Linked DNA regions of Coturnix japonica. The protein of the gene in region 2 purifies or fractionates together with the protein of the main gene of each other region. This does not show direct contact. Links are inferred from orthologs where the notes say so. Each region holds a gene or a part of one and is shown on either strand. Other genes may lie near its edges.

The links.
Region 1: the proteins of SKIL (region 2) and SMAD2 purify together in Homo sapiens (affinity purification with western blotting; 8 studies listed by BioGRID and IntAct, with this or other methods). This does not show direct contact. The link is inferred for Coturnix japonica from reciprocal best matches to the Homo sapiens genes SKIL and SMAD2.

The regions. Positions count from the first base shown.
Region 1 is NC_029547.1:1,312,808-1,317,254, reverse strand, and holds the start of SMAD2 (mothers against decapentaplegic homolog 2), read right to left. Parts: upstream 2,972-4,447; 5' UTR 2,889-2,971; intron 1-2,888. UniProt on the Homo sapiens protein: Receptor-regulated SMAD (R-SMAD) that is an intracellular signal transducer and transcriptional modulator activated by TGF-beta (transforming growth factor) and activin type 1 receptor kinases.
Region 2 is NC_029524.1:17,520,904-17,525,287, reverse strand, and holds the start of SKIL (ski-like protein), read left to right. Parts: upstream 1-1,575; 5' UTR 1,576-2,316; intron 2,317-3,333; exon of another isoform or gene 3,334-3,505; intron 3,506-4,283; 5' UTR 4,284-4,384. UniProt on the Homo sapiens protein: May have regulatory role in cell division or differentiation in response to extracellular signals.

The DNA.
Region 1 (4,447 bases), on a different chromosome or scaffold from region 2:
CACAGACATTTTTCCTCTCACTCATTTCATGAAGTCTGATTATGAAACAAATGAGAAAACCCGCATTTCTTATATGGAGAACCAAAATAAGCACCAACATGATGGTCAACTTCAGAAGTTTAATTTTTCTCCAGTTACTAAGTAGTACTGAAAACTACAGACAAATTAATAAAATTATTGTTATAAGAAAATTAACAGATTGAAAGCAACACATCACCCTGTGACACTAAATTGCATGCAACCAGAAATATGAGAAAGAAGCAAAGATGTTAATTTTACTGACCTCTGATTGGAATAATTATAAGAGCAATATATCTTAGCAATTCTCTTGGAAGCCAGAAAAAGGTACCATGGCTGCAGGCAGCCAATTCACCTGTCGGCAAAGCAGCACGCTTTTCCCACATACTTAGTATTTATGAACTCAAGAGCATTGCTCCTTAATACTGAAAGACCTCAGCAGAGCCACAAAAGCACCAAATGAGCATTCCAAACCACAGCAGTTTAAGCTCTTCTCACCTAATTTGTTTTGATTAAAACTTTCCATGGGTAACAGGCAAGAGTCAGTTCCATTAGGTTAGAAAGGAAATGCTCCTGGGTAAATCTGAAAGGAGCAGTCCCAGAACTGATTAGCAGGTACTTGGGGGCCTGTTTCAGCTCCTATCTGCATAACTTTACAGTTTCCCAACTTCGTTAAACTCTCCTTCCTCCACCACCAGCAGAGCTTGAAGAGTGTCTTCCATTAAGCTCATCTTCCTCCGGCTTAATTAAATCAAGCTCAAGCCCCAGACTACACCGACAGCAAACCAGGAGCTGCTCTCTCACAGTCTCTTCTTGGTCTCCCTTCGCACTCTGGCTGTCAAACACACTTAATCACAACAAAAAGTCATCTGGAACGAAGTCTTCCTTTCTGTAATCCAGCAGCACTGCAGGAAGTTGAAAGCAACGTTTAGCAAGATTTTCTGCCATCTCCAATTTCTTCTAGCCCAGAGAGTAACTGAGCACAACGCTGCCTGCACTCTCCATTCCATTACAAAAAACTAATCCCATCGCATGACCTGCAGCAATTCAGTTTAACAAATCCACAATTACAAATATTTTGGCAAAGTAAGCTTAGGTATTGTTTGCCTCTCGGCACAGCTCACAACCAGTTTGTGGCTTTATGATAAAAGTCATTAAATCCAATCTGAAAAGCAGAATTTACAGCTCACTTAGCAAGTCAGGCCCATAAATGGCTGCTTTCAATTACAAGGCATTTACATGCACAGTCGTTAAGGCAGAGTTGAGTACATTTGAAAAATCTAGGATACTTTTTATAATAATTAAAACTCTGTGTGCTGCTCTTACAGAAAGAAAATTTGGGAGTTTTCTTCGGTCTCCACCAGAATCATATTCTTTGTTAGCCAAAACGCACTACACCAAGCCTGTTCTGCCAGAACGTTTGTGGGAAAGAGATTAGACAGATGGAGACAAGTTTTGTCTCTTAAATCTGCGCTCCGCAGCGGAGATTTCTGAGCTCCAATAAACTCAATTACATCAACCAGCGCTCAACGCTTCTAAAAGATCAAGTGGAGCAGGAAGGTGGAGGAGCTCCCAGCAGGGCCTTTCATTTAGAGATACACTGTGATACAATTGATACACTGTGATTTTGCTCATGCCCCTTGTTTCTAAGGGTGACTGCCAAATCCTGAACCACGCAATTACAGATCAGTTATTAAACACCCCCAAGTTACTGTTAAAAGTGATCCGAAGTTTGAGCCACTCTTACTGCAATCCTCCCCCACTCCTCTTTTAGAGGCACTGATAACCAGTGCTGTCTTTCACCAAGACAGTGCTAAGCAAATGGAGCCAGGCAGGGAGAAGGAAATGTAAACTTCAAGCCTTTATTGATATTCTCATTCCCCTGTAATTCACTGGAGCTTGTGAACACTGAAGTTTCAAAGCCACCCCTCAGAACAAACAATAAAGCTACTCATGTACGCAACCACAGCTCCCACACTGTGATAACACTTCCTAGAGTCTAAACAGCAACTGCGTTCCGTTAGAGACACCTTTCGACTTAACAACAGGAGGTTCTTCCAGTCTGGAGGACAGATAAAAGACTGATCAGCCTGACCACAGACTCCATGATGCCATGAATCAACCTGAAAGCGGCAGCTCTCAAGGCTACGAGTGGAACACTTATAGACAGACCAACCCGCTGTTAGTGGGCTCCTCATACGGTGTCATTACTAACTTATGGATGCAGATGGAAGTTGCTCATCCGTGACCACAAGAAGAATTTTCAGATTTTTTTATTTTTTTTTCTGCAGTGGATGCAGCAAAAAGAACTTTTCCCTAAAACCACCCATTCAACATGAAGGGATTTAAAGGCAGAACACACATGGCTTCTTTAAGATTACGACGTCCCACCAACAAGACACAAAACTGAGCTGCATCCTACTGAACCCTGTCGGATATCACAAGAGCTTCTCCCCCACCTTTTGTTCCCTTACCTCCCCATGGTTAAATCCTGCACTGAGGCCCCTCCAATAAGAAAACAACACACAAACAACACAGCGAGGACCAGCTGCTCCATCACAGCGCAGTGCATTAGCTATGGGGGGTGTGACGTTAAATGGATCTGTGTGTACAGCCCCTATCTGCATTGAGGCCCCGGTCCGGTTCGTGTGGTACCGCCCGGACCCACTATTGGATCCCCCCATTCTCCTCCCCCCCCCCGAGCTCGGCCGCGTCCCCACCACAACAAAGGGTGAGGAGGCCCCATGGCCTACCCAGCCGGTAGCAGGCCCGCCCCACCTCCCTTCACCCCCCCCGGCCCTCCTGCCTTTCCCCTTGCCTCCCGCTGCCCCTCAGAGCCGGCCCAGTCTATCTATGGGTCCCACACCGACCTCCCGTCCCGGAGCTCCGCCGACACCTCCTCCTCCCTCCTCAGCGCTGCGCACTGTGAGCCCGCCTTCCCCGTGCTCGTTGGTCACTGCCAACGGAGGTGGGAGGGGAGGATTTCTATTGGTTGATTCGCTTGTCAATTAAAAAATGAAGAGATGACATTGGCTTTGCGCATCCTACGCAGATGATTGGCGGGTTGTGCAGCCAATGGGATGACGGCTAGGGAAAAAAAAAAGAAAAAGGAGAGGAGCGCTGGAGCCGGGTGGGCGGGCTCACCAAAAGCAGCGCTTCTCATTGGCTAATCCAGCTGTCACTCTCCGACCGGCGCGACGGCTGGGGGCGGTTGAGCCTGAGAAGGGGCAGAGTTTGTGTGTCGCGTAGTGCGCATGCGTACAGCTGTGTCTGTGGTGTTAATGGGGTGAGGCGTTCAGTTGGATGGGGGTAATGGGGGGTGAGGGCCCGTCCCTTCAGAGCCCCTCCAGGACCCCATTAGACCCCAGCCAAAGCCCCCCCAGAGACCCTCAGTACCCCTCAGCCCCAGAGTCTCCTCAGAGCCTTCCCCATGGTTGATCCCTAACATCCTTTAGCCACTTTGCAGATGCCTTCTCCTCATAGCATCCCTATTCATTTGGGTTGGAATAGGTAAAATAACCCTGTTCATTTGGGTTGGAATAGGTAAAACAAGCCTCGTTTCTTTAGGAGGGGAAAAAGCAAAAGAAGCAGACGGCATCAGGGCCCTGAAGCTGCCTGAGAAGCATGGTGGCTATGGAGGAGCCAGGTAAGGTGTCTATATTGTCATCTATAACTTCAGCTGCCCTAGAAAGCTCTTCCATCCATCCACATACCTTCACCCTCAGGTTCTGTGCCTCCTCTGTTACCTTGTGTTGAAGCTGGGTGTTGCTAGATGGTAAGTCAATGCAGTGCTGCTCAGCACATCAATGTGGTACAGGTGGATGGCAGTCCCGTTGGTGTATGAACCTGCAGTGAGAAGAGCATCAGCATCTCAAGGAAGGGCTCTGGGGGTTCTCCCAGGGATCAACACCTTCCAGAATGACGTTCTCATGGTTATTTCCCAGCCACTGTTTCACCTGTCGGGCTGGAAAGAACAAAGGGAGTAACCTGTGATCTAAAGACAACATGATGAAATGGTGATTGGCTGCGCTGTGTGTTGACTTCCCAAAGGCTGTGAGCAAATCCCCGAAGAGATAAAAGGAAAAAAAAAGCGATATCAGATAAGTTGAAAGACACCTGGGATTTCTAAATGACTGGACACTATCAGATATCACCGTGATGATGAAGACAAGCACCAAGTGCATTGCCAGGAAGGCAGGGCCTTGGAGACAGGGCAGATAGTTTGTGCTTTGAGTTCATTCTTAGCAGTGTGTCAGAATTATCTGTTCTATGGAAAATAACAAAAGAGAGAGATCCAAACAGTTTGGGTACAAAAGGATCAGCCAGCAAGCTCAAGACAGGGAATAATGTGTGGTGAAAGTGACTGTGAGTCCATGGAGAAGCACTGTGAAGTGTTCCCAGATTTCTTAAACTCATTGTATTGAAGCTC
Region 2 (4,384 bases):
CCACGTTGCCAGTGGAAAAAGCACATCTAGAAAAAAAATAGGTGCTGTCCACAATGACTCCCTTAATTTTTCCACGTGTAGGTAGTGATTTGTAATAACACACAAACCTTTAGTGTTGGTAGTAGACTCCATTCTAATTGCTTTCCTATTAGAATAAATAGAACAGTTGAAACTGGGACTTTTGGGAGGTAATAATGATTACATTTCATGTTAGCAAACAATGTAATGTACAGCACAGCTAACTCTTATTTTTAATATTTGGGAAGTAGCTTTGAATGTCTTAGGCTGAAGAAATGCCAAATGTACCACTTCTTTATTTTTATTTCTGGAGAAAAGGGATTAAGAGACATCGAAGAAAAGAACCTGTATTTATATGAATAAGAGCTGTGAGGCAACTTGGTGTTACTTAAAGCAGATTCAGATGTCTGTAAACACAAGTTAGCAAACCTTATCTGAAGCTTTTAGTGAGCTTTCTGTACAGTCAGTATCTCTGTGAAAATCCTCGTGTGGTAAAGCTGTAAATTTGCAGCATGAATCTTCCAGTGTATGTTTTTTTTCCACTTATGTGTTAGCTTCAAGGGGAGAGACTGCACAAGCACAGTAGCTCACAGTGTGGTACTTAGCATGGACTTCACTTTGCAGCGTGAGTAGGAACCAAGATACTGGGAATTAATTGGAGGGACTTCCATTCCAGGGAAGCATTGAACTTCTACACTGTTGAAAGTTGGGTTCTCTTAGCCTTACACCTGAGAGTTCCTTACACCTGGGTTCTCTTACACCTTCCAATGTAAAAAGTCAATCTACTTTTAAAGAGCAGCTAATAACTTCAACACTGTTATTTCATATGAAGTGAAACTGCTTGCATCCAGCTATAAATTTAAGTGCTTGACACTCATGTGACTCGTTAAGACATTGGAATTTAATTGGTAGTAAACTTTGAAGTTACTTCAAGCAAGAAAAGCCTTCTCTGTACAGTTCCTTAATTTCATATACAATATCAAGCAAAATAGTGTTACGTAGGGAAGGGCATTTCTGCTGCTCAGAAGAGCACTGTGTTGTGCTCCAAGCAGAACTTTTTATAGATAACGTCACAGAAAATATACTTTTTCTATTCACACATCTAACTGTTGCCACTGAGATAAATATCCTTAATGACTGTAAGTCCATTGTTTAATTTTCTCCTAAGTGCCATGATATTAAGTTATTTTTTATCGTGGAGCCTAATAGCAGCTTTTGTAAGTATTCAGAAGGGATGTGGCGTGTAAACAGTTGTGTAGGCTTTGAATTTTGAAGGTGTATTTGTGTGGAGCTGACCCTTTGTATGCCAGATTCTTAGGGGTGCTCTGCTCGTTCATATCGTCTCTGCTACTTTCTTGTTTCGTATGGAATATGGTCTTGAACATTGTTGTGTAATCATTCTCTTTATTTGTGCACAATTTTTACCTTAAATAAAACATTTATATTAGAATGCCGTGTATTCATCCGAAAAGAAACAAAGCCGACTCCTACAAAGCACTACTGGGATTTGTTTGGGACCTTCAGACGGACCGTTAGGCATCCAGGGAGGGAGTGCAACAACAACCTCCACCAGAAAACATTGAAAGGCAATTGCAGCATGTTGGGTATCATTCAGTTGGAGCTCCTGTGCTGTCACTGCAGCTGTAGAGCAGTTCGCATCCATCGCATTTACTTTGCACAGCTCCATTTGTTTCTTTCATACTCTCTCTCAGGTCTCAACTGAGGGCAGGGGCACTTACCTCATCCCCCATTGCAGATGCAGTATTTTAATCTATCTATATTTGAAGATCTGTGTATTTGTATTTTAAAAGCCGTTTCCTCTTGCAGCCTGGCTTGCTATTAACAGGATGTATCAGCAGTCCTAGACGAGCGCTACAGATGGTTGCATATCTTAAATGCTTGACCTCCCCCCACGCACGCTTCTTGTTTCTGTTCAATTCGGTGGCCAACTGCTCTCTGCTCAGTCTGAGCAATTGTTTGTGTTAAAGATGCTCTATAAAAGAAGTTAGGACCATCTATATGTCCTTGGAAAATGCTAAACATACATCCTGACTTCAGCAGTGACATAGTAAGCAAGAAACGTATCTGAGTTACATTTTAAGACAGCCCTAAATGTTCATTTTGTAGGTTTCCAAGTGATGTGACTGTTTGGAACAGAAATAAAAGCAGGATCCTTCTGCTGTTGCAGTTTGTTACACCTTACAAGGATCCACAACTGAAGGGCTCAGCTGCGGTTCTGCTGCTACGAGTGATGCAGGCTGCGTCTGGCGAAAGGATCCAGAAAGCAGTAGGGGAAATGTAAGTAAGGGAAAATGCACTTCCTATAGCAGTAATAGCTGTTATGATAAATGCTCCCTAAGGAAGGGCTGAGTCAATCTGTAGTGATTTACAATAAAAACAGAGCGACCAAATGAGGATGGAAGAGGCCAAATAGTGGGGTATTAAAGGGAAGAAAATTAATTTCTCCAATGATTTTATTCTTCCCTGTGATTAAATGCTGGTTTCAGTTTTGGGGAAGCATTTATCTTCCCTTTGGCCTACACGGGGTGGAAGGGATTTATGCCTTCCCTTTTCTATTTCCTCAGGCCATGAGAAGTTGTGTCTTCTATATGCAATATATGAAATGCCTCCTTTAAGTAGGGCCAGAAAGCAGCCTTAATTCCAGGTAACTTGGAGGTTACAGAGTTAAGGTTTCCCTTCAATGCCCTTTTGTTCAATGGAGAAGCCCCATGTTTGCCGGAGGGTCCTGTAACATGGCAGCAGTAGAACCACCATCCCATTATAGCCGTGCTTTGCACTGAATATAAAGATTGAGGTCATGCTCTAGTTCAGATTTACGATTCCTTCATCTCTACCTCGATTCTTTAATAATAGAAAGGTCGAACGCTTTTCTCTAAGCTCTAAAAAATAAGTAGAACTGTTATTGTCTTTATGATCACAACGTTATGGTTAAAAGCTGAGGCACGGCTGTTTATACAGTTATTCTAAGCCCTATTTTCCTCTCTATACCGTCAGCGAGTTATTGTTTGAGCCATATGAAGCACCGGGGGTCGCTCAGGTGCCCCTGAACACCTGAGCACGATAAAATGCGAACACCAAAGGCACAGCCTGCTAACGGAGGCCCCGATGTGCCCTTTGAGTAGCTACGTGTGGTTATATCGCTCTGTATCGCATTTTACCGTCCTTTCTTGCATCTCATCGCCATTTATTGTGCTCAGCGGCGGGGGAAGGGCGGCCGCTCCCGCCGCTGCCCCAGACAGTGGGCGGAGCTGCGGCGCCGGCTGCTGAGGGCGGCGGGGGGTGCGCGCCGCCGCCGGGTTCGTGCCCGCGCGCCGCCGCCGTCTCCGCCGCCGTCTCCGTGTGTGTCCGCCGCCGCCGCCGCCGCCGCCGTCTCCGCAGTGAGGTCACGGGTGGGCGGTGCGAGAGCGGAGCCTGTTCCGCTCCCGGGGATCCGGAGCCTCCGCGGCACCGAGTGAGGAGAGACGGGGTGAGGGGGAGAGAGAGGGGAGACAGCGCCCGAGGGAGGGGATGGCGGCGGCAGGGGGAGGGGAGCGCCGGGCACGGGGGGGGGGAAGGGAGCGGCGGGGAGTGAGGGAACGAGGGAGAGACGGAGAGAAGGAGCCGGGAGGGGGTGGGAGGAGCGGGGGGAGCGCTGCCCGCAGCCGCACAGCCCCGAGGTGAGTCACGGAGCGGCGTCCCGCGCCCTTCCGGGAACGGCTGCGGGGGGGGCGGCGGGACGGGGCGGGCGGGGCTTCGCGTGGCGCTCCCCGGGGGCACATGCCCTGCACCCCATATACCCTGCGCCCCATATACCCTGCACCCCATATACCCTGCACCCCATATACCCTGCAAACCATACCCCCTGCTCCCCATACCCTGCGCCCCATATACCCGGCACCCCATATACCCTGCTCCCCATACCCTGCACCCCATATACCCTGCACCCCATATACCCTGCACCCCATACCCGGCACCCCATACCCTGCTCCAAATACCCTGCTCCCCATACCCTGCACCCCATACTCAGCTCCCCATACCCTGCTCCCCATACCCTGCTCCCCATACCCGGCTCCCCATACCCGGCACCCCATACCCTGCACCCCATACCCCCTGCTCCCCATACCCTGCTCCCTGTACCCTGCTCCCCATACCCTGCACCCCATACCCCCTGCTCCCCATACCCTGCTCCCTGTACCCTGCACGCCATACCCTGCTCCCCATACCCCAATCTCGTGGCTTGCTGTGACCCCGTTCGCTGTTCGCAGGCTGCGCGGACTGACAGCAGGAATCCAGCCTGCAGACTCGGGCTGAGGGTGGGAGAATTGAGACACGCCGCGCTGACATCTGTGCCAAAGGTGACTCCGTG